Oryctolagus cuniculus: one gene and its partners. The protein of the gene in region 4 interacts with the protein of the main gene of each other region in a pairwise test. Links are inferred from orthologs where the notes say so. Each region holds a gene or a part of one and is shown on either strand. Other genes may lie near its edges. The genes, in order: ANKRD24, COBLL1, COBL, PACSIN1, JADE2 and EHBP1.

The links.
Region 1: the proteins of PACSIN1 (region 4) and ANKRD24 interact in a two-hybrid assay, tested with the Homo sapiens proteins (2 studies listed by BioGRID and IntAct). The link is inferred for Oryctolagus cuniculus from reciprocal best matches to the Homo sapiens genes PACSIN1 and ANKRD24.
Region 2: the proteins of PACSIN1 (region 4) and COBLL1 interact in binary tests that used the Homo sapiens proteins (3 or more experiments, as listed by UniProt). The link is inferred for Oryctolagus cuniculus from reciprocal best matches to the Homo sapiens genes PACSIN1 and COBLL1.
Region 3: the proteins of PACSIN1 (region 4) and COBL interact in binary tests that used the Homo sapiens proteins (3 or more experiments, as listed by UniProt). The link is inferred for Oryctolagus cuniculus from reciprocal best matches to the Homo sapiens genes PACSIN1 and COBL.
Region 5: the proteins of PACSIN1 (region 4) and JADE2 interact in a two-hybrid assay, tested with the Homo sapiens proteins (2 studies listed by BioGRID and IntAct). The link is inferred for Oryctolagus cuniculus from reciprocal best matches to the Homo sapiens genes PACSIN1 and JADE2.
Region 6: the proteins of PACSIN1 (region 4) and EHBP1 interact in a two-hybrid assay, tested with the Homo sapiens proteins (2 studies listed by BioGRID and IntAct). The link is inferred for Oryctolagus cuniculus from reciprocal best matches to the Homo sapiens genes PACSIN1 and EHBP1.

What each region holds. Positions count from the first base shown.
Region 1 is NC_091447.1:59,707,672-59,711,504, forward strand, and holds the end of ANKRD24 (ankyrin repeat domain-containing protein 24), read left to right. Parts: intron 1-774; coding exon 775-942; intron 943-2,602; coding exon 2,603-2,719; intron 2,720-2,812; coding exon 2,813-2,878; intron 2,879-2,995; coding exon 2,996-3,073; 3' UTR 3,074-3,333; downstream 3,334-3,833. UniProt on the Homo sapiens protein: Component of the stereocilia rootlet in hair cells of inner ear.
Region 2 is NC_091434.1:76,612,792-76,616,865, reverse strand, and holds the start of COBLL1 (cordon-bleu protein-like 1), read right to left. Parts: upstream 2,801-4,074; 5' UTR 2,614-2,800; coding exon 2,604-2,613; intron 1,966-2,603; coding exon 1,845-1,965; intron 1,438-1,844; exon of another isoform or gene 1,220-1,437; intron 1-1,219.
Region 3 is NC_091447.1:55,722,861-55,726,913, reverse strand, and holds the start of COBL (protein cordon-bleu), read left to right. Parts: upstream 1-1,253; 5' UTR 1,254-1,511; coding exon 1,512-1,552; intron 1,553-4,053.
Region 4 is NC_091436.1:134,869,669-134,873,168, reverse strand, and holds part of PACSIN1 (protein kinase C and casein kinase substrate in neurons protein 1), read left to right. Parts: intron 1-716; 5' UTR 717-777; coding exon 778-840; intron 841-1,556; coding exon 1,557-1,713; intron 1,714-2,616; coding exon 2,617-2,852; intron 2,853-3,252; coding exon 3,253-3,408; intron 3,409-3,500. UniProt on the Homo sapiens protein: Plays a role in the reorganization of the microtubule cytoskeleton via its interaction with MAPT; this decreases microtubule stability and inhibits MAPT-induced microtubule polymerization.
Region 5 is NC_091437.1:22,755,276-22,759,489, reverse strand, and holds the start of JADE2 (E3 ubiquitin-protein ligase Jade-2), read right to left. Parts: upstream 2,801-4,214; 5' UTR 2,786-2,800; coding exon 2,735-2,785; intron 2,610-2,734; exon of another isoform or gene 2,471-2,609; intron 2,307-2,470; exon of another isoform or gene 2,199-2,306; intron 2,071-2,198; exon of another isoform or gene 1,708-2,070; intron 1-1,707. UniProt on the Homo sapiens protein: Scaffold subunit of some HBO1 complexes, which have a histone H4 acetyltransferase activity. Acts as an E3 ubiquitin-protein ligase mediating the ubiquitination and subsequent proteasomal degradation of target protein histone demethylase KDM1A.
Region 6 is NC_091433.1:139,946,101-139,949,600, reverse strand, and holds part of EHBP1 (EH domain-binding protein 1), read left to right. Parts: intron 1-382; coding exon 383-507; intron 508-2,879; coding exon 2,880-3,018; intron 3,019-3,172; coding exon 3,173-3,279; intron 3,280-3,500. UniProt on the Homo sapiens protein: May play a role in actin reorganization. Links clathrin-mediated endocytosis to the actin cytoskeleton. May act as Rab effector protein and play a role in vesicle trafficking.

The DNA of each region.
Region 1 (3,833 bases), on a different chromosome or scaffold from region 4:
GAGCAGGGACCACGGGGCGTCGACCGAGCTCTGGACTTGGTCCCTTCCCCCATGCCGCCGGGGCAGGTGCGCAGGTGCGCTGGTGGCCCCCGGGCGCTGCGGTCTCGCCTGGAGCCGCTGGCTCTCGGCCGTAGGTCGCTGTCCAGGGAGGGTCTCTGGGGTCCCTGGAGTGTCTTACCATGCTCAGATTTCTGCCTAGTTTTATCTGAAAAGGAGAGAGAGAGAGAGAGAGAGAGAGAGAGAGAGAGACCTTCTTCCCACTGGTTGTTCACTCCCCAAATGTCCACCACAGCCGGGGCTGGGTCGGAGCCTGCCGCCCCCAGGTGGGTGACCCGAGCTGTCCCGGGGCTGCCCTCCCGGGAGCTGGAGCCCAGAGTGCAGCCAGCGCCAAAGCCACTTTTTTGCACCCTGTTTGTTTCTCGTCCAGCTCTTTTCTTTTGCAACTCCAATCTGCTCCAGAGACCGCGTTCGCTCGCTTTCTCCCACCACCGCCCGCCCCGGGACACAGGGGGCTGTTGGCGCTTTATATACAAACGGGGAAACTGAGGCAGGGACTGGCTTCCCAGCCCTTGGGCCAGAGAAGCAGGACGGGCCGGCCGGCATGCTCAGGGGGGCGCCAAGCCCTCCCGGGCACTCTGGGTTTGGATGTCCCCTGGCCGGAGCAGAAGCGTCAGAAACTCCCGGGACCGTGATCCCAAGGCGTCACACGGGGGTCCGGGTCGCGGGGGCCCGGGGGTCCGGGTCTCTGAGCGTCACTCGGGGGCCGGGCCGCAGGTGCAGCGGGAAGCCTTGTTCATGAAGAGCGAGCGGCACGCGGCGGAGGCCCAGCTGGCCACAGCGGAGCAGCAGCTGCGAGGGCTGCGCACCGAGGCGGAGAAGGCGCGGCAGGCCCAGAGCCGCGCCCAGGAGGCCCTGGACAAGGCCAAGGACAAGGACAAGAAGGTGGGCGTCCTCTCCCTCGCTCGGGCGCGGGGTGAGGGGCCCTGCTGGGGGTCCCGGACACCACCCAGTGTCCCACTGTGGCACCGTGACGTGGATCGAGCGCCGACTGTGTACCGTCGGCCGTGGGTTGGTGCCAGGTTCTCCCCAGACCCCCACCCCCCGTCCCGTGTGGAGGCCTGAGCACAGAGAGGTTGGCCTCTTGCCCAAGGGTGCACAGCATGCGCTGCTCCCAGCAGGTTGGTTTCTGCTTTTGTTTTTCAAGATTTATTTATCAGGGGCCGGCGCTGTGGCGTAGAATGGTACGTGTGCTCCCTGCTCCAGCGCCGGCATCCCACGTGGGCGCCGGTTCGAGTCCCGGCTGCTCCACTTCCGGTTCAGCTCTCTGCTGTGGCCTGGGAAAGCAGTGGACGATGGACCAAGTGCTGGGGACCCTGCACCTGCGTGGGAGACCCGGAGGAAGCTCCTGGCTCCACCCTGGCTGTCGCGGCCATCTGGGGAGTGAACCAGCAGATGGAAGACCTCTCTCTCTCTCTCTCTCTCTCTTCCTCTCTAATTCTTTCAAATAAATGAATAAATCTTTTAAAAAAATTATCAGTTATTTGAAAGTCAGAGTTACAGTAATAGGGAGAGAGAGAGAGAGAGAGAGGTCTTCCATCCGCTGGGTCACTCCCCAGATGGCCACAATGGCCTGGGCTGACCCAGGCTGGAGCCAGGAGCTTCCTCCGGGTCTCCCACGCGGGTGCAGGGGCCCAAGGACTTGGACCAGCATCCACTGCTTTCCCAGGCCACAACAGGGAAACGTGGAGCAGCCAGGACTCGAACCGGCGTCCATAGGGGAGGCTTAACCCGCGGAGCCACAGCGCCGCCCCCAGGTTCTGTTCTTAAATGATGCGGGCGACAGCGACCTCTAGCGGTGACGTCAGGCATTTTCATGCATTCCTAATTTCCCGCCGTCCTGGGAAGACGCGGGGTCGAAGCCGGGAGCCGGGAGCTCCATCCGGGTCTTCATCCCCATTTCCCAGGTGAGCCAACCGAGGCTCCCGGGGGTGAAGGCAGTGGATCGCGGGCCGCACCCAGCCCCCGGCCCTGACTCTGTGGCCTTGGTCACGTCGTGCGACCTCTGCCCGCGGCCGTGGTTCCTGTCCCGTGGGGGCGGCTCCCCTGGCCCCTGCGGCCGTCCTGGGCTCTGCAGGCCATGGAGCAGCCCCAGCCGTCCCAGACTCCGCCCAGTGTCCCCGGGGGGGGGCACAGCAGTCCCTGATGAAGATCCTGGGATCTGCCGTAGGAACGAGGCCCAGCACTTACTGAGTCCTGCTGTGTGCCCCAGTGCAGGGTGGCGAATCTCCCCCATTTCACAGACGGGGATAGTGAGGCTCGGCGGGACCCCCACCCCCACCCCGTTCCGTGATCAGCTTAGGAAGAGGAACAGCAGGGTGACGCCCCCAGCCCCACTGTGCCGGGCTGCCTGGGGTCCGGGGAGCCCATGGGGGAAGGGGCAAGTGTAGGCGGCCAGAAAGCGCCGGGTTCTCCCACCTGCGGGGCAGACAGCAATGGCTCTGCCGGCGGGAGGCAGCTGGCGTGGCCGCGGCCGGGCCAGGGTGGACGCCAGGAGCCAGCCCTGCGGCTCCGGGCGCCGGCTGACAGCGCCCCCTGCCGGCAGATCACGGAACTCTCCAAGGAGGTCTTCAGTCTCAAGGAGGCGCTGAAGGAGCAGCCGGGCGCCGCCGAGGTGCAGGCTCTGCGCGACCAGGTGGTGGCGCTGCAGCAGCGCCTGCAGGTGCGGGCTGGGCCGCGGGGCGGGGGCGGGGGCGCAAGTCCTCGGGCACCCGGCGCCCCCGCTTCCCTGAGCGGCCTACTCTGTGCCCCACAGGACGCCGCCAGGGACCGCTGTGCCGTGGTGGCCTTGTACAGGAGCCACCTGCTCTACGCCATACAGGTGAGCCCTCCCCGGGCCCGCCGGCCTCTGTGCTCGCTGGGGTTGGGGTGCGGGTGGGGGAGGGGCCGCAGCAGGTGCACCCAGGGCCGCCGGTCCTCTCTGCTCCCTGCTCCTCAGGGTCAGATGGACGAAGACGTCCAGCGAATCCTGAGTCAGATCCTGCAAATGCAGCGGCTGCAGACCCAGGGCCGCTGAGGCTGCGCCCGAGGGGCCGCCCGCCCCCGCCCCCGCCCCCGCCCCCCGCACCCTCACGGGGCCCCTGCCCCCTCCAGGCCGCCCCGCGGGGCCCCTCCCCAACTTTTCTGTAGCTGGCTGCATCGCTCGGAGAATCTGTGACAAGTCCCATCCCCCCCCCCACTGCCAACCCGCCCGTGTCGCCCCTCGTCACGTCCCGGGGACGCCCCTCCCCCGGGAATAAAAATGCACCGTGCACAGCTCCAAGGCTGGTGGCCTGCGTGTGGGAGCCTGGGGGAGGAGCCCCGCCTGGGTCTCCCGCGTGGGGGGGGGGGGCAGGTGCCAAAACTGCGAAGCTGGAGTCAGGAGCTGGGACTCGAACCCAGCACCTCGGTTCCGCCAGGAAGGCGCGCTCAGTCCCCACCTGCCCGGGACAAACCCCGGCTGAAAGCCCGGGGGCCTTCCTGGAGGGGAGGCCCCCTGAGGGTCCAGCCTGGCCTAGCCCCGGGGTTTCCTTGGGTGTCCAGCAGCCGCGAGGCAGGTCCCCGGCTGTCCCCGTCACATCACAACCTCTGTGTGTCGTGCCGGGGCTGCCCCTGCTGGGGCCCGCGTGCCGGTGTCGCTGGGGCCGGCATCTCCGGGGCGGTGAACGGGCGCGTGCCTCTCGCTGCTCTAGGGGTCCCCGCCGTGTTCGTGTGGTCTCTCCCTCTCTTCCTCTCTCTCCCTCCCTCTCTCCCTCCCTCTCTCTCTCTCCCTCCCTCTCCCTCTCTCCCTCCCTCCC
Region 2 (4,074 bases), on a different chromosome or scaffold from region 4:
TTCTCTCTCTCTCTAACTCTTTCAAGTAAATAAATCTTTAAAAAAATTTAAAAAGTATTAACTCAATTTCTGGACACCTGTGGGGATATTTTTGTGTAAGTGGGTAGGTTTGTTTTTAAAGATTTATTTGGAAGGCAGAGTTACAGAGAGAGACACACAGATACAGAAATATTCCATCTACTTGTTCACTCCCCAGATGGCCCCAACAGCTTAAGTCAGGAGCTTCATCTAAGTTTCCCGCGTGGGTGCTGGGGTCCAAGCACTTGGGTCATCTCTTCTGCTGCTTTCCCAGGTTAACATAGAAATGGACTGGAAGTGGAGTGCCAACCCCCTAAGTGGGTTTTTTTTTTTTTCAGTACCTTAACCTAATCCATTCCAAATCCACCAGTTCAATACTATCTTGTTTTGTGCTACCTGGATACATTTCAGTACTCTGAAAGCTGGTCCATCTTCAACTTACACAGCTCTGCAGCTCCAAAGACCTTGCTTTCATACTCATTATGTCTCCCAATGTGTTTCTTTCCTCGGATATCCTAATGTGAGGATCTATGACAATATCCACACAATGAGAAAGCTAGGGAAATGAGACAGAAGTCGACAGCAATAGGGCTATTTGCAGGAAGAAGACAGCCAACTGCAGCAAAATGAAAGAATTAATTCATACGCGACATGTTCCCTCTACGTAAGCACTATACAAATGTCTTTTAGCTTAGTCATGTTGCTTTGAGACTTTTCCATGTTTCTTCTCTACAACTGCTAGTGTTCGCATGGTCTCTGATGAACAAACATGCTGTGACTTGCTTCTAAGGAAACGCCTGTCATGTTCCAGGGAAAACTGACTTCACTATTCGGTCAGAAAAACTGCACAACTCTCATTCCTCGGTGTTACAAAGCAGATATTTTCTTTCCTCCACGTTTGTATTTCTCGAATGTTCATCTTCTCATCAGGACGCTCCTACGTTCAGATTAAGAAAGAACGGACATCTGGGTAGCGGGAACACTTGTAGGAAAAAGTTACAGGAATCAAAAGGGTTTCCCGCTTCAGAAGCCCAACGGGCTTGCCTGCTACGCCTGCGCTATTGACCAAGACCAGGGTTATTTTCAGTTCTCCTCATCTCCTGCAGAACTACCTGTTCTCCGGCCTGTTTACCCAACTGCTGGGCAAGGTGATGATTAGCATATCTGGCAGGAAGGCATGCTTCATTTAATATTAACTCACCATGTGACGGGCCCCTTCCCCTCCAATCTCTCCTCAAAACATGTGAGAAGAATAGTTGATTGCAATCTGCCTCCGCGCTCGGCTTTGGCACCCGCAATTGGCCACGGGCGCACACACCCCCGAGAGAGAGGCGAGCACCCCGCCCGCTCCCGGAACTGTCAGGCGGGCTGACAGCTGGCGCACCTTCGCGACGCCCTCCGAAAGCCCCTTCCTAACAGTCTCCTCGACACCGCTCCACCGCCCAGGCCCCTGCCCTTGAACAAGGAAACTTTTTTCCCTCTCTCTTCCTTTCTAGGGAGCTCGCTTACAGGTATCGTCCACCGCTCCAAGAGCTCCAACAAGGGGCTCTTTGTTATAGTCTTTGCTCCCGTACTCCTCACCCAATCCCTGGCAACCAGCTGGCCTTCCGCAACCAGTGCAGCCCCAGTGGCAAAGCCGTCCAACACTGCCCGAGCCCCCGGCCCGGGCGGCCTCCGGCAAGGCCGGGAGGACGCCGCCTCGCCGGCCGCGTGTAGGACGGCCGGGGAGTCAGGCCGCTGGCAGAGCAGCGAGTCGCCAGGCAGGTGAAGCCGGCGAGGCGTCGGTGCCCTCGCGGGCGAACGGCGGCGCGGCGCTCGGGGCTTACCCTGAGGCGGCGGCGGCGGGCGTCGGGGGCGCCGCCGGGGCGTCGTGCGCGCTGGGGGCTCGGCCGTCCATCGCCCTGCGCGGCGCTGCGCGGGCTCCAGCTCGGAGGCGGCGCGTCACTGCTGGGGTGGGAGAGGCGGGAGGTCAGGGCGGGCCGCGCGCCTTCCCGGGGCCGGCCGCGCGTCGAGAGCCCGCCCGGTCCGCGTGAGCGTCCGGCCGGCCCGCCTCCCGGGTGCGCTTCCACCTGCGGGTCCGGCTGGGTGCCCGCGGGCGCCGCCGCTGCCGCCGTGGCGGCAGGTTCTAGCGGGCTCCAGCGGCAGCGGCGGGAGGCGGCGCTGCAGCCCCCGCCCCGTGGGGTTTACTGGGTAGCCAGTTGGCGCCTCTCGGGGAGGGAGTGGAGCTGCCCCGGCTGCCGGAGGAGGAGGTGGAGGAGGAGCGGTGCCGGGCGCGCAGGCACGGCCGCCACGCCGGCAGCGCACCCGGGGCTCCAACGGCCGAGTTGGAACAAACACAATGCCCTGGTAAAAGTTCTCCCGAGGAGAAGTTGGAAGGGCGAATCTCTCTTTTCCCACCCAGGACTCCTACTTTCTTTTCAAAGGGAGACAGTGGCTCGCCTGTTCTCTCTCGCAGCTTCCTCTCCTCCTCTTCCCGCCCCCGGCCTGCGCCCTGGCAGCTTAGCTCTCAATCCAGGACTTGGACAGAGAGAGCCAGCGCTCCCCGGAGCTCGGTCCCGCGGGCTTCTCCCCGGCCGCGCACTCACCCTGCCCCATGCTCTGGCCCGAGCTCGGGAACCAGCCGCCCGGCCGCCCAGAAGTGAGGACCAGCTCGGCGGCATCGGAGCGAGCGAGGCAGCCAGCCGGAGAGAGGACCGGGGAGGGGGCGGGCGGGGAGCGAGTTGGAATTTCCTTCCCCAGGGTTTCGGGTCTTTGGGGACCGGCTAGGGAAGCCAAGCGGAAAGGTAGCTAGCTCCCTGCCGGAATGTTCCCGTTCCCACCGCTAGGGCCTGGGCTGCGGGAAGCCGGGCGCGCCCATACCGGACAGGTGGGGCAGGAGGGGTACCTGCCTGGGGAGGACCGGCCGGCTGCGGAAGTGCGAAGAGAAACTCGTAGAACCCGGCCTGCAAGCTTGCCTGGCCTGCAGTCTGACCTTCGACAACCAGGACTGGGGCTTTTTGTGTGTGTGCTTCTTAACGTGACCTCTACGAATGATTGTGAAAAGCGTACCTGTGACACTGATCTTTCTAATCGGCAGCAGGTTTGAGCTTGCCTTGTCTTCGGAAGCATTTCTTACTTTCTTTATGCAGACCAACAACAGTTGTGACGTGAGGACTGGGCATTATTACATCTGATAACAATCCATAAACCTGGAGTTGAATGCTGGGGCTTATGCATTCACCTCTTGAAAGTTTTACAGGAATAGAAGAATCATGTAGGGACAGCCCTGTGCTTGTGTCCCACGTGCATACTGTTTAGATGATTCGCTACACCTGACAAACAGGTATATTTGCAGATCTCATTGAGATTCTCATCAGTGCCAGTTGTTTTAAGGTACAAGCTATTTCGGAGGATCCAAATGCCTGCTTTCAGAAAATGTGAAATTAAGCAGGTGACTTAACCAGATAACTTAAAACCTACAGTCTAAAAATAAAATCTTTTGGAATCAACTGATAGGTCTTATAGGAAGGAGTATCTAAGGGAGAGAAGAACCTCTGCTATAGTATTAACATCAAGCAACAAAATCTGTTAGCCACTTCATCTTTGTGGGGTAACATTTGCTGAGTATTAGAATTAAATTGATATTTAGAACTAATGCTTAACTAGGTATTTCTGTAGTTGTTTATCGTAGCAACCGGATTGCAGAAATTTAGTTTAAGTATCTAGTAATAGGCCGTTTGCCTATAGGGAAGCATTGGTGTTTGTTGCTTTCAGTGTGGAGTGCCGTCTTTTCAGTGCATCTATGGGAAGAAAAAATGTGGCTTATCTGCATTACACTTTGGAACCATATCATGAAAACCTCCTTTTAAATAAGTAATATTATCAAAGCAGTTCACTTAAATGCCTCTGGATTTTAATCTTGAAACAATAACTCAAGTTAAACAATTTCATGAATCATTTATGCCTCTAAATGAGTAGCGTTTACAGTTGCTTGCACAATGATGCAAATGTTGAGTAACAGTGAAACTACTTAATGTCTATAACTTTCAATCACAGGATCAAGACTAAAACTTTAAT
Region 3 (4,053 bases), on a different chromosome or scaffold from region 4:
CCCACAGTGGTGTCCACAGCAAGGAGGGCCCCCAGGGCTGGGAGGGCCTCTCAGCCACCCACAGCGGAGGAGGAGCCAGACAGGGTGTCCTCATTTACAGAGCCCGAACTCCACCCCGGCACTGACCAGAGGCCGGCCGTGATCACAAAGCAGACCCGAGTCCAAGGTTCTCGGAGACCACCGTCAGGGCGGCAGAGCAAGGGGGAAGCGGTGGACGCTGTGTGTGGTGAAGGCAGCCTCTCTGGGTTTCTGTGCTATGCTCCATTCACACACCCATATTACCTATTTACACAGGCGCTCATTAATTTTTCTTTATAAACATAAGCACTGTAACACACACAAGGGACCATACACACATGCATGTAAGTGCTTGGGCACCTGGGTGGTGACAGGGGTGGGGACGGAAGCTGAGGGGCTGGCAGAGGCTGGCATGGAGGAGAGGAGCAGAGGTGAAACCCTGGGGGCTGGGCCTGCAGGGGTGGGAGGGCTGGGAGCCAGCCGGTGCACCCCGGGCCTTGCAGCCCTGGCAAGATGTACACTGTGGGTCTGGGCTGGTCTCCGGCCTCCTGTGAAAGCCGGGATCAGAGCCACCAAGGCCCAGGCGGCCCCTGGATATCTGGGCCAATCAGAGGGTCGCTGCCGAGCCTTCTATGCCTGCCACCGACCCCAGGATAGGAACTACCCTTTGTAGAGATCAGAGCCTCCTTGTTGCGGCCGAACCAGCGGGTGTGTGCGGGTGAGGCAGGGCCCACGGGCTGCTGCTTCATAACTGCCGACAGCGTGCCCAGGGACCTTGGGTGCACATCCCCGCCGGGCTCCCGCCGGCAGTCAGGCCATGCTCGGACCAGGGCTCCTGGCTGCATTTCCAACAAACTCCCAGGCGCGCTGACGCCTCTGGGAGCCACTCTACCTACTCACCTGATGCGCGGATAAACAGCGCGGCCCTGGGCGCCCCTGCCCCGCGCCCCATCCTCGAACCCCCACCTGCGGCTGCTCGGCTCTGCTCCCCCCGCGGGACCTCCCCGGACGCCAGGTGGTTCCCCTCTCCTGGCCCCACCCGACCTGGGCCGGGCTACCCCAGAACCCCCTGCCTGGTCCCGAGACAGGGGCAGGACCTCCGCTGCGGCCGCGGGGCCCAGGAGCCTGCAGACCCTCGCCGGGTCGCATGCGGGGAGGGCAGGAGCGCGGCGCGGGCGCGGGCGCGCGCAGGCGGGCGGGGCGGGGGCGGCGCTCCTGGGGGCGCGGCGCGGCGGGCGGGCGGGGCGGGGGCGAGCTCGGCGCACCTGGCTCCCCGCGCTCCCGCCCCGCGCCGCCGCCGCCGCCGGCCCCTCCCCGCACGCCTGGGACGCTCCCAGCCCCTGCCGAGCTCTCTGCCGGCCGCTGTCCTCCGCAGGCCTCGCGTGGGTGGACGATGGGTCAGCGCGGAACAAGTGAATGAGGGCGGCGGCGGCGGCGGCCAGCGCCTGACTCGGCCGGGCCCGAGCTCGCCCGCGCCCCGGCCGGCCCGTACCATGGACGCGCAGCGCGCCTCGGCGGCCAAGCCCCCCACCGGGTAAGCCGCGGGCTTCGGGGGAGCTGGTGCGGGGGGCGTTGTGTACTTTGGGCCCGGGTCGTCGCCCAGGTAACCGTGCCAGGCCCGGCCGGGGCGCGCTCTCCGCAGGGCTGGGTGCGCGCAGGGCCCCCGCCGGCTCCGTGCAGCCCTCACCCCTCCGAGAGTCTGCGCTGAGCGGCTGGGAGGCTGCGGGACAGCGGCCCCTGGCTCCGGCCGCTCCTCCCTGGCCACAGAAGCTGCCCACGGGCCGCTCGTCCCCGCGTGGCGAAGGGGAGGGTCCCGGGACCTCGAGGGCCGCCTCGGCCCCGCGCACTCGGGGTCACCGTGTAGGCGCCTCTGCCGGCGGATCTGCGGGTTTTCCGTGATACCTGCCCCGCGCCCCGGCCTCCGTGCCCTGGGACGGCCGCAGGTGCGAGAGGTGGGGCCGGCCCGAGGTGCGGAGCCCGCTCGAGACCTGCGGGCAGCGCCGCCGTCCCCGCCTCCGCGATTCCGGGGTAGGTTTGCGGCCTTCAGCCGTGGCGTGAAGGGATCCCGCGCCTTGGGCAGGTTTCTCCCCGCACAAGGAGGAACTTCCCCACTGCAGGACGCACAAACGTGCCCTTTAACCGGATCCGCAGCCGTGTGGAGCGGTGCGCCTGGCGCCCAGGCCGCGGGCCCCGCGCAGCCCCGGCGCCCTTGGGTGTCCGCGGCGCGCAGACTTCGGCCCCGGCGCCCTGGGAGTCCTGGCGATGGAACGAGGGGTTGGGGTGGGTCCGGCCCCGCCGGAGCAACTGGCCTTGAAGGGCGCAGCTTCCGGGACAACAGACGTTTCTTTCACAGTTGTGCCCCTCTGACTCACGCTGTCCGCACAAGTGTGCAGGGAGTTTGGGAACTGTCTCTTTTTTAAAAATTCTCCCTTTAATGCCAGGAAAAAGTGAGCCAGGTTAACAAATCAAATAATCCTGACCCTGGAATGCTGAACTTTTTTTTTTTTTTTTGCAGTGCACTTAGCGGTTGTTATGTAATTCTCTTTGAACTAACAAATCCCCACAAAGAACATAAATACAGGAAATCCTTTTTCATGCTAATGGGCATCTCCAAATGTGGGGAAATTCGACAGGGAGTCACCTTTCCTGGATGAAGTGCGCCTATTTCAGGAGCCTGGATTGTTTGTCACTACCCCCTTATAAATAAATATGAGGAGAGTATGTAAGAGGCTGGCAACCTTGTATCCCAGGAGTATGGGTAAAATCCTGACCCCGGCTCTTGCCAGCCCTATGGCAGGAGGGAGAGGGGAGCCCCAGGGCTGCCCTGGGGCCTTCCCCTGGGAGTCCCGTGGGAAAACCAGGCCCTTGCTAGCACCGGCGCCTTCCGCGTCCTCCCTCCGCTCACACTGAGTGTGGAGAAACGTGGGCAGACTCCGCCTCAGTCTCATCCGTCACTTGTCAATACTCCCAGTGAAAGAGCAGCAAGAATATAGAAAATGACGAACGTTTAAGAAGAAAGTCCACGCTCAGTTTTTCGGACAAGTGTGAGTTTCATAACACATGACTTTGTTCAAAGCCTGAGAAGGAAATGGCTCTTGAATGTTTTATATAACGAGCTCGTGCGTGAGTCGCCTGCCATAAAGCACGGGTGTGGCTGTGAGGTTCCTGGCCGCAGCCCCTCATTGGTGGCCGTGGGATCCTGCCAGTGGGTCCTGGGTTTCTGTTTCCCCTCTGTGGATCGGCTCTGCAGTGTGGGGAGAGTGAGGTGGGGGCAGTCTCTCTGGATGGGCTCTGGTGTGGGGAGAGTGAGGTGGGGGCAGTCTCTCTGGATGAGCTCTGCAGTGTGGGGAGAGTGAGGTGGGGGCAGTCTCTCTGGATGGGCTCTGGTGTGGGGAGAGTGAGGTGGGGGCAGTCTCTCTGGATGGGCTCTGCAGTGTGGGGAGAGTGAGGTGGGGGCAGTCTCTCTGGATGGGCTCTGGTGTGGGGAGAGTGAGGTGGGGGCAGTCTCTCTGGATGGGCTCTGCAGTGTGGGGAGAGTGAGGCAGGGTCTGTCCAGGCTCGGGCAGTCTGGTTCCTGGCACCAGGGCAGTGGTACAGTGTCGCGCTCTGCAAGTTGTCCTTGTACCCTGCTGGGGTGCAGGTGCGGTGGCCTTGCTGACGGGGTGGGGGGGGGTGGGGGGGGGTGCAGGTGCGGTGGCCTTGCTGCATAGCATGAATTAAGGAGATTCCTCAGAGCAGAGCTCAGCCTGGGGATTCCTGGAGGCACCAAGGGGCCGCTGCATGTGAATTCCCTGGCTGTGGCTCTGATTAAAACGCTCTTTGTTCAGGACACAAATGCAAATTTTCTTAGGTTTGTGTCGGTGATGTCCTTAAAACAGTGACTGTGACTGGCTTAGGGAGGAGGCTGCGTGTGCAAAAGCCAATGAGTCAGACTTGATTTCACTTTTAGGGAGTCTTAGAGCCCAACCAAAGCGTCGCAATTCATAGAATATTCTAGAACACCAAGACAATGGCCTTTGGGTGAAGTTTTAAAAT
Region 4 (3,500 bases):
GGGCATTTTTGAGGCTGGACAAGAGGGCAGCCAGAGGGCATCTATGGGGCCCGGACCTGAGAGCTGAGCAGGCGCCGAGCCTGGGCCAAAGGTGGGAGGGGCCGCTGTCAGCCTCCCGGGGCGCTTAGGTCCCGGCTCCGTCAGGCCTCAGGGGCTGAGACCAGGGCCTCTGCGATGGTTTGGGCCTAGGAGTGAGCACAGGGACCTGGAAGGGTCTTTTGGGCCTGGTGCAGGGCTCTGGCTGGGGCATGGATGGGGACGGGGGCAGGGGGTGGGTAGGAGCCCCCCAGAGCACAGCAGCCGTCTGAGGGGGCAGAGTTGCAAGGCCAGCTAGAGTGTTGGTCTGGGGACTGTGTGCGGGGCATGCACATGGCGAGGCCCCGACTGCTGGCTCCTGGGAGCTGTGTGTGTCTGCCGAGCGCACATGGGCAAGTGCGTGGTCCTTGCTTCTGACTCCGAGGGTCCAGGAGCCATGAACCGTTCTAGGGGTAGGGGCCGGCCCTGGGAGGAGGCACCTGGGGGGCGGGTATGGAGGAGAGATGGGGAGGTGCGCGCAGTGTGCTACAGAGGAGCCTTGGCAGCCTCGAGGTGGCGAGCAGGAAGCCAGCCCCGGCTCCAGCGCAGGGCCCTCCGTGGAGGCCCCCTCGCACAGCAGGCCTGGACTGGAGCATGGGGGCACAGCCTCACCTCCAGGGGTCTCTCCCCTGCCCTTCCAGCCCATGAGCAGCTGAGCCTCCAGACTGCAGCCCCACTCCTGTCCGCCCCCACGGCCACACCATGTCCGGCTCCTACGACGAGGCGTCGCTGGCTCCGGAGGAGACCACCGACAGCTTCTGGGAGGTGAGGCTTTGAGGGTCCCCAGGTCCTGAGGCTCCCGCATACCCCCCACTTGCCCTGTGAGCTCGTGCCTTCTGCCCCAGCCCCCCGGGCCCCTCCAGAGCCACGAGGTGGGGGTAGGATACTCTGCACGCAGAGGGGTGCTGTGGCATTTCCCCCGTGCAGGCAGCCCCCTCCTCACCGTGTCCAGAGGGCCCTGGTGCAGATCCGGGGGCTTCACAGCTTACGCTGCCCCTCACCCCGTGCCGTGGACACACAGAGGTGGAGTGAGCTCTCAGGGCCCCACAGCCAGAAACCCAACACAAAAACTGCGAAGCTAAATGAATACGTGCTTAATGAGACGTCTGCGGAACACGTCACGAAGCCTTGGCTCGACTCGATGCTCAGATGAGTCCATGTAATACAATGGATGGAGCTCACGAGAGCCACATCAATCATTCCTCCCGGGCCAAGTTCAAATTCTAAGTCTCCCTCTCATTTTGTAGCAGCGGAGGAATTGTGTTTCAAGTGGGATGCGGGTGCGTGGAGGTGGTGAGGTCTAAAGCGCGCGGGTGCCCGGGGCCTCCCCCAGTTAAAGGGCCCCGGGGCCCCCTTGCGTGGTGCGCGGGAGGCGGCCGGCCGTGGCGGCGCCCCCTGCAGGACGCGGCGGCCAGGGCGGCCGGGCCGCGCCGCGCCGGGTCGGGGAGGCAGCGAGAGTGACGCCGGTGCTCGGCCGCCAGGTGGGGAACTACAAGCGGACGGTGAAGCGCATCGACGACGGCCACCGCCTGTGCAACGACCTGATGAGCTGCGTGCAGGAGCGCGCCAAGATCGAGAAGGCCTACGCGCAGCAGCTCACCGACTGGGCCAAGCGCTGGCGCCAGCTCCTGGAGAAAGGTGCCCCCCCCCGCACCTCACCCCTGCCCACCCACCATCCCCGTGCACCCCCACGCATCTCTGCTTCCAACAACCTGAGGTTGCATTAAAAGAACAAAAGGCCAAAGAAAGACCCCTTTTTTATTTAGAAATAATTTTTAAATGCCGAGAAAAGCTGCAAGGGCTGCACAGACACCCCCACCCCGCGACCCTCACCCATTCCCATTTATTTCTCCACTGTCTGGCCACTGACAGGCACTGTATTTTTCTGAGCCATTTGAAAGTTGGAGCCACCAACCCCTCCTTCACCCCTAAATTCTTGTGTCCCTTAAGAACAGGGGTTGGTGTAACCATGGGTCAGCTATCCAATCCAGAGTGTCTAGCAGGGCCCTTGCGCAGTTTTACGATGGCAGTGGTTTGTGCCAGCCCAGCACCCACTCCGGAATCGCACACGAATGGCTGGCAGGTCTCTACATCCAGAACCGCCGACTAGACGCCAAACCCCACGAGGGCAGGGGCTGGGCCCGTGTTGCCTCACACAGTGCCTGGCATGGAGCTGGCCCCCTGCACCTGTCCCCAGCAGGTTCTTGGGTTGTACGTTCAGCCAGCATTCCCGGGAGCTCCTGCTGTGGGCCTGGAGCTGTGCTGGGTTTGTGAAGGCTCAGGGGGTCCATCCAGGCCACCCAGCCGACGCGGGAGGCAAGGACTAGGCACAGAGGGAGGCGTGTGCGGGCAGAGCACTCCGAGCAGGCTCCCTGCAGATGGTAGGGTCCTGGGGCCCTAGAGGATGGACAGAAACACAGGGATTGCAGGGGAGGGCACCTGTGCTGCCATGGGAAGGAAGGGGCACGCGTCTGAGGAGCAGGCAGGAGGGCGCCCCTGGGACGGGGCATAGAGGGCCCTGACCCGCGGCCGCTTGCTCAGGCCCACAGTACGGCAGCCTGGAGCGGGCCTGGGGTGCCATGATGACCGAGGCAGACAAGGTGAGTGAGCTGCACCAGGAGGTGAAGAACAGCCTGCTGAACGAGGACCTGGAGAAGGTCAAGAACTGGCAGAAGGACGCCTACCACAAGCAGATCATGGGTGGCTTCAAGGAGACCAAGGAGGCCGAGGACGGCTTCCGCAAGGCCCAGAAACCCTGGGCCAAGAAGATGAAGGAGGTGCGATGGGCGCTGGTGGCGGAGGCGGAAGGGGCGGTCTGAACCGAGGGGGCTGCTCCCAGGGAGGGGTCTATGGGTGGGGTGGGCGGTCCACCGCCCTCTGCTGGGAAAAAAGACCCACAGCTGGGCAGACAGTGCCCAGTGAAAGGTAAAGAGCCATGGGCCAAGGGCACACTAGGGGGCACAGCAGAGGGCTGACCCTGCACCACCTTCAGGAGGGTCTCCCACGCTGGGAGCGCGCCAGGGCTGGGGGCCCTGCGCCCACATCCCTGCAGCCAGGGCCGGCCTCCTCTGTCTCAGGGCTCCTGGGGAGCCGGCAGGCAGGAGCAGTCGATGGGCGACCATGTTTGTTCCTGCTCCCAAACGGGCCCCTGCCCGCCCTGTCCCCCTCTCGCCACAGCTGGAGGCAGCCAAGAAGGCCTACCATTTGGCCTGCAAGGAGGAGAAGCTGGCCATGACGCGCGAGATGAACAGTAAGACGGAGCAGTCGGTGACCCCGGAGCAGCAGAAGAAGCTGCAGGACAAAGTGGACAAGTGCAAGCAGGATGTGCAGAAGGTGCCGGCCGGGCTGCGGGTGGTGGGCGCAGGGGGTGGGGGCTAGGGGCTGCAAGCCTGGCCAGGTCTCATCTCCCGCCCCCGGTGCCCGCA
Region 5 (4,214 bases), on a different chromosome or scaffold from region 4:
CCCCACCAAGCAAACTTCCTCGGTCAATTATTCGCCCTCTTCGGATCAAAGCCTGTTTTTGCTGCCTGTGACCCCAAAGGCAAACAGCATCTCTCAAACAGAAAGCCTTCCTCCCTGGCCGGGTTGGCTTATTACTCATCCCTTCCCCGGATTCTGTTGTGATCTGCCTCCTCTGGCTGTGCCAACCGGCCTCTGGACCACGGGACAGGAGACAAGCTGGAGGCACCCTAGGAACCCAGGAAGAAGCAGGGCCAGGCGGACTGGCAGTTCCCCGTTACTGGGAATCATACCAGGGAAGGGGGGACAGACTGCCACTCTGGGAGGAGGGGCCCAGGCCTGGGTTTTCATGTTAAGGGGGGGAATACTGGCGGGCTGCTTCTCTGGGAGCACGTATCAGGGATCCTCCTGGTTCCAACCAAAGCAAGGACACAGTTTCCCTCCCGCCGCCGCCCCAGTGCCTCCCTGGCTCCTCTGGCCCCGCTCTGGATCCCGAGCAATGCCTTCCACGATCTCCCTGCAAACTACCCCGGGACAAAAAAAACTTCGTGCCTCGGAACCGCGCTGATGAGCCCAGCCCTCAGCCCGGGGCGCCAGGTGCCGGCGCGAGGTCCGGGAAACTGCAGAGGCCCAGAGGTCCGGCCGCAGCGGAGCCCCGGGCTCGGGGTACAGGGCCTGGAGTCCCTCCCCCGCCTGCAGCCCCCTGCACGCGGCCTGCAGCCACGCTGGTGAGAAAGTGCCCGGGCCGGCTGCAGCGGCCTGACGCGCCTCCAGCCCGCCCCTGGAGGCCAGCCGCGGGACCGCAGGCTGGAGGCGCGCCGGCGTGATTCCGACCGCGGGAGCCGGGAGGAGGAGCCGGAGGTGGCTGCGGGGGGCTCCGGCCCAGGCCAAGGAAGAGCAGGAGGCGGTTCGGGCCGGGGGCGGCGCCGGGAGGTGGGTGGGCTGGATGCCCGGGGCGGGGCGGGGGCCCGGACGGCCGAGCCCCTGGGGGGTGGGAAGGGGGAATAGGATTGGGGGGGGCTGGGCCTCTGGAGGCGAGGAGGGGGAAGCCTTGCCGCCCGTCTCGCAGGCATCCTTATGCTCCGACCGAGCCGGCCCCTTCCTCCCCGGGTCGGGAGAAGAGGGCGTCTCGGGACCCGAGGATGGGCGGGAAGGGACCTGGGGGAACCACGAGCCTGCACCCGGGCGGGGAAGCGGCGGGCGGGAGCCGCTCCGCAGGCGCAGGCGAGTGGGTGGGAAGCAGGGAGGGAGCGGGAGGAAGGAGGTGAGGCCGGGAAGATGCCACTGCCGGGGGCGGGGCGGCGCCGGGGATCCGGGCCGAGGGACTGCAGCAGCGCTTGGTGGGGGCGGGGGCTATCGTGTCACTCCCCGGGGCGTCAGGTGTGCGCGTCCCGGGCAAGGGCCCACACTCGCCCGCGTCTTCCCTGCACCCCCACCCCCAGGGCGCAGGGGCGGAGGCGGCGGGCCGGGGTCTGCGGAGCCGTTCCCGGGGCGGGACGCGAACCGGCAGAGTTGGGAGAAGGTAAACAAGGGCCACGCCCCCTGCCGTCGCCCCGCGGGCGCGCACCCGCCGCTCCGGCCGCCGCCGGTACATTTCCACTCGCCCAGCGCCTCACCCCCGCCGGACTCCCGCGCGGCCCCGCAGCGGGGGATGCCCCCGACCCCAGCCCGCGCCCCGGGCGGCGGGGGCTGCGCGTCCTCCCCACTCACCTGGCAAGGGCGGCCCCCGCCCCTCCAAAAAAAAAAAAACTGTGTCTAATTTGTGCGGAGCCTCCGAGCCCAGGAGCCGAGCATGCTGCCCCCGCGTGCAGCGCCCGCGCGCACCCAGCCCGGAGAGGGGGCGACAGGGCGGAGGCGGCGGCCCCCGGAAGGTGTCTGGGACCCGACCGGCTGCACGTGAGCCCAGCGCGGGGTCATGTGCACCGGCTCAGCCCGGTTCGGCGCCCGGACGTGCTGCGTATCAACAAAATGAAACTCGGGGCGACAGGAGGGCAGCTGGCTCCGGGTCCTGCGCGCCCCCGCCCGCGGCCGCGCGACCTCTCCCCCCGCCTCCCCGCGCCCTGCTCGCGCCGCAGCCCCTCCGCCCGGCCGGAGCCCGCGGGGCAAGTTGCGGCCCCGGCGCGCCCCCGCCCGCCCGCGCCCCCTCGCCGGCCCGGGGGCGCTTTGCCGCAGTCATTAATAAAGGAGGTCGCCAGGCTCACCCTTCCAAAAGTTGTTGCTGCATGCGCCCCCGCCAGCCTCCCCGCACTGTACTCTTAAAACACGACTGACCAACATGCGCAATCTCTCTCCCCTGTGCTGTGCATCCCCCCCCCCCCCGCGCGCGCGCTGGCTTCCTAGAACAGGCAGCCAGCAGGAGAGAGAGGGAGCGAGCGAGCAAGAGCGAGCGAGGAGCGCTGGCAGATCTGTTGCAAAAACACAAAATAACGCCGTGGAGATGCGCAGGGCCCATCCGCCGGGGGCTGCTGCTTACCTTGCTGCGCGGTGCCCTCCCGAGGGGCGCTGCCCTCGGCTACGCGCCGCAGCGGGGACCGGTGCGGGAACGATGCTCCCGAAACCAGGAGCTCCCGGGGCCGGCGCGGGAGGGCGGGGGGCGCGCATCCATCCGGGGTCGCGGCGAGGGAGGCGGCCGGGCCCGCGGCGTCCCCGGCCCCTCGGCCCTGCCGGGGACGGGCAGCCCGCCGGACCCGAGCCGGCGCCGCTAGGAGTGAGTGCAAAGTAACTCCATGGACGCTACTCGGCCCCCCCAAAAATACCCTCCAACTGCGATGGCCGCGGTCGGCACCATTCACCAACCCCCTGTGTATGTTTCTGTTTCTTTTTAAACCAAGACTTCCTTGTGATCTCTTTAGAAAAAAAAAATGTGTTGGGGTGGGGGTGGGGTGGGGGCGGGCAGGAGGAGCGAGAGAGGGGGAGTAGCCACTTTTTTCTTCTGCGCTCGGATCTCCGCTCCCAACACCCCCGCCGCCGCCCCCCGCCCCCCGCCCAGTTGCTGGGCTCCGCGGCGGGTCCAGGTAGCGCTGCGGGCCCCGGGGGCGCGCGCCCTGGCCGCCCGCGCGCCGGGCCCCGGCTCCCCGCGGACTCCGGGGCGCCCCCAGCCCGCCCTGTCCCCGGGGCCGGGCCCGTTCGGCGGCTGCGCCCGTGCAAGTCCCGTCAGGTCCGCTCACACCCCGCACACTCACACGCGTTCCCCGCCCCTCCACGCTCTCGCTCACACTTTCTGCTCACACCCCGCCCCCTTCGCGCCCGAGACCCGGGCGGCGCCCCCCGCAACCCTAAAAAAAAAAAAAAAGCTTATACTTAAAAAAATCTTTTGGCGCCATATTAATGACGTACTTAAAATTTGCCATTTCTCCCTGCGTCAAAAAGACGTTTCTTTGCAAATAACAGCCTGGAGGCGACACTCGCGGACGGAACGAGACTCGCACAGCACCCCGCCCCCCGGGGCTCCGGCGCCGGGAGACCCTCGCCCGCGGCCCTGTCTCTGAATCGCCGGTTTTAAAACGCGAATCACATAAATCGCGTGGCGTTTCGCAGCGCCAGAAGTGAGCAGAAAGTGCTGGCTGGAGCGGAGGGGAGGGGCGCGCACGACTCTGGGGGAGGGGGCGCGGCCCTCCCCCCCCTCGCCCGCACCCACGCCAAATGGAAACTAACGTCCCGGGCGGGGGACACTGGAGCTCGTGGGCGACCTCCGGGGGACGGGGGCGGTCCGCAGTAAGGGTCCCTCGCGGGCTCGGCGCCCCCTCCCCCCTCTCGGGTGCCTCCTGGCGCCCGGCGCTGCCCCGCATTTCCGGGGGGCGGGGAACGCGGTGGTGGGTGGGTGGGTGCGCGTCCCGGCCCCCGGCAGGAGTTTGCCCCGGAGCAGCCCCCCCTGCTTGTGCCTCCCGCTCCACCGAAGGGGTTAAAAACCGAGGGGCAACTTCCAGGGGCTGGCACTTGGCGAGGCGGCGGGGCGCCCCTCTCCCCACCCTGCGCCGCCGCGCCCCTCCTCCTCCGGCTCCACTTCCCGACTTGACCTTGTGGTGCACAAACAGTGCGCTCGGATCCTCGCAGTTTCTGGAAGAGGAGCCTGGGCTCGCCAGGCGGCTCGCCGGCGGTGGCCGGGCCTTGGGTGCGTTCCCGGAGTCGCGGGCCACACCCACCCTGCCCGCTGCGCCCGCCGCGCTCACCTTTCTCTCGAGGAAGGGGCAGGGCCGGCCTCCCGCATGGGGAGGGGA
Region 6 (3,500 bases), on a different chromosome or scaffold from region 4:
TTCCCAGGCCATAGCAGAGAGCTGCATTGGAAATGGAGCAGCCTGGTCTTGTACCAGTGGCTGTATGGGATGCTGGCGCTGTAGACCAGGGCTTTAACCTGCTGCACCACAGCAGCAGCCCCAAATACCAATTTCTTTTCACCAAAGTAAATTCATCTTTTAATTCCATTTTCTACAAACTTCTTGAAGTCTCCTCATATATAACATAGAGGCATAGGTTTAAGAATTCTGCATGTGTATAGTCTGATTAGTTATTTCAAAATCCTAATGTCCTTTTCTTCTTTCTTTTGAAATATAATATTTTGTGATATCACTTAAAATTGATAGCCTATACATATAAATACATCTACTCTGTTATTCATGGTATTTGTATATTTAACAGAACAAAATAGTAAGCTGGTGGACTTGAAGCTAAAGAAGCTCCTAGAAGCTCAGCCACAGGTGGCAAATTCATTCTCCAGTGCTGCCCAGAAAGCTGTAACTGAGACCTCGGATCAAGACATTAAGGTAAATCTGACTTTTAAAAACATTTAGCTCCATATCTTTATATTCTACTTTCTGCTAGCCCTTTATAATCCTAAAAAGTTTCACCCTAATTCTTTGCATTAAAATTAAGATGTAAAACTTTTTATTAAATAACCAATAATTAAATATCAATATGGCAGTCAGTATTCATTTGCTATTTTTCAAAGAAACCACTATGTCAGAGTGCTAGTTTGAGTAAAAGCAGAGGGTTTGTAGAAACTATTATTGAAGTCTGTGTATATTGTATATTTTGCCAAGAAGAATATTGCTAAGCAAACTCTAGCATTTTTCCATCGTCCTTATCCTTCTACCTGTTTAGATGAACTAGAATGGCTGTAATTTTCACAAAAACATCATACCTAAAGATGGTGACATGATTAAATACAAATGTTTAAGATACTTCCATGTGTTCTGTATCATTATGAATCTTACCTTATTTATCATTATAGCAAAAATGCTACATTATGAGATTGTTTTATATTATCCCCACCACCACCACCACATACTCCCCCGTCCTTTCTACACCGTGTAGCATTTAGTATTTCTCTAGCTTTAGGGCACTTCCAGTCCTGTATAACTTTTCACCCACCTGCGGACTATGGGGACTGCCCTGCTGACTGAAAGGATTTCCTTCCCCTGACACAGAGATGCTTTGAAGTCTCAAAACAATGACTTTCATTGCTTTTCCCGTATATTGTCGGTTTCTATAAATTGGTGATGAAAGTGTGTGGCAGCACCAGAGGACTTTGGGTCTCTATCTTTGAACAAAAGGAAGCCTGGATCAGGTCTGGTTTTTTGCGTTCAATTTAGCTTTCTGCAGTGGATTTAATGCAGAATGAAGCTGGCCTAAGAATAATACAATGGATTGAAAAGGCTAACTGAATTAGTGGGTTTAGAGGAATACATTTGTAAAGTGGCAGAAGTCCCTAGTCATAAAAAGGTTTCTTAAGATGGGATTTGCTGGCTAATCACACTGATATTTTAGCATGTTGCCAGGCCTAAAAAAAAATTTAGCCATGTTTGTTTATTTTGGTAGACTTGAGTTTTAGACTGTTAGATAGTTATTATAATAATAGTAGAATTCACACTTTTTTTTAAAAAAAGATGTTTCTTTCTCAACTACATAGCTAGTATATTATAAGAATGACGTTGATGATATATGTGTGTGTGCATGTGTATGTCAGATAACTAAAAATGAGGTAGTTCCAATATGATTTAATCACTTATCTAGATGAAATTGATTTTGCTTCTTTAAAAATCTCCTGTTATAATTTTTAAAGTTATTTCAACAAAATTATGCTTTTAACGGATTGCCTTTGTAGGAATCTTTTCAGTTAAGATTTTGAAAATGCTTATAAAGAACATATAGATTCCATCTGTTCTCTTGAAGCTTTCAGCATTGATTTGGGTTTTTATTTATTTTTTAAATAAAATGCAGTTTACACGTTTATAAATGAGGCATTCTGTGTTTGTGGAAAAGGATAAACTGTTACCTTCCCTTGAGGATTCTGTATCCCAGGCCTCCTTGAGGCTAGAGAATAGGCCATTGGAGGGCTCCCTCATTACTGATTGTCTCAATGCAGAGGAAGGGCAAAGTCTTGGTAGCTTTTGATAACCAGTTTCAGCATTCAGCAGGCTTAGCTATTAGTCATGCATCTTAGCCTTTCCCTATTTACTTTCAAAACACTTAATAAAAATAATAAAAGATTAGGTATAAAATGAAATATTTGTTTGGTACACAGCACCTCGGTATCTGCAGCTTCCACACACTGCAATGGTTCAGTCTTCTGGGATATTTCTTGTTGATAGAACCATTTGAATTTGTTACCAGTATTAACATAGGAAGCTCCGGAAAAGATAATTGTAGTTTCCTTAGCTGTAAAAGGCTTACTTACAAATCTGGCTTTGGAAAGTTATAGCTGATGAAATGCAGTTCAGTGGGGTAGTATTATAATCCTACCTTTTAGCCTTCATCCAGCATTAGTGGTTTATCTCAATGGGCATAAAATTAGAAACTATTTCTTCTTGTCATACAAGTCTGTGGGGCTGTACAAGCTGATGGGGCAGAATAGTAGGGAGAACAGGAGGCAACATAGCTTTTAAAAGATACCAATCACCAGGAGAAGACACAGAGTTTGTACGATCTTGTATCAAAGTTATCAAGAGTTTAAACCATGAGTCCCAAAGTTTTTCATTACAGACAATGGAACTTACAGTTGAGCTATTTGGAAAATCACTTTTCTTTCAGAAAGTTTTTAAATTTCAAAGTCTGCATTGTCTTAAATGTCTTCTGAATGTGTAATTTCACATTTATAAGATCAGGACTCTAGAAGTGTGTATTGTTTTACTTTCAGAATGGCACTGAAGATCTCCGGACTGAACGATTACAAAAAGCAACAGAACGTTTTAGAAATCCTGTTGTGTTCAGCAAGGATTCTACAATCAGAAAAACTCAACTTCAGTCTTTTAGTCAATATGTTGAGAACAGACCAGGTAGGAACACTTTTAAAAAATGTTTTCCCATCTTATGATTCAACAGTTCTTAACAATGTGTATATATTAAAAAGCTGATGCTGTAAATCCATAATTTCAATATATAAATATCAAGCTTTATAATAATTTTACATGTCTTTCTTCTTTTTTTAAGAAATGAAAAGGCAGAGATCAATACAGGAAGATACAAAGAAAGGAAATGAGGAGAAGGCGGCGATAACTGAAACTCAGAGGAAGCCATCAGAAGATGAAGTGCTTAATGTATATTAATTTTTTGTGTGGTTTCATGATTGCTGATAATTCCAAACTGTATGTGGAAATAGTGCCTTTATTTGTTAAAATGAGATGTTAGGTTTTTTAAGATGTCAATCTCCAGTGCATTCAAAGCAGAGTGAGAGGGGTGCACTGTTGAATTAGTCTGCAGTGTGGTGATAATTGTCAGATAAAAAAAAATGAATTTTTCAGAGTTCCACAGCCCCAGC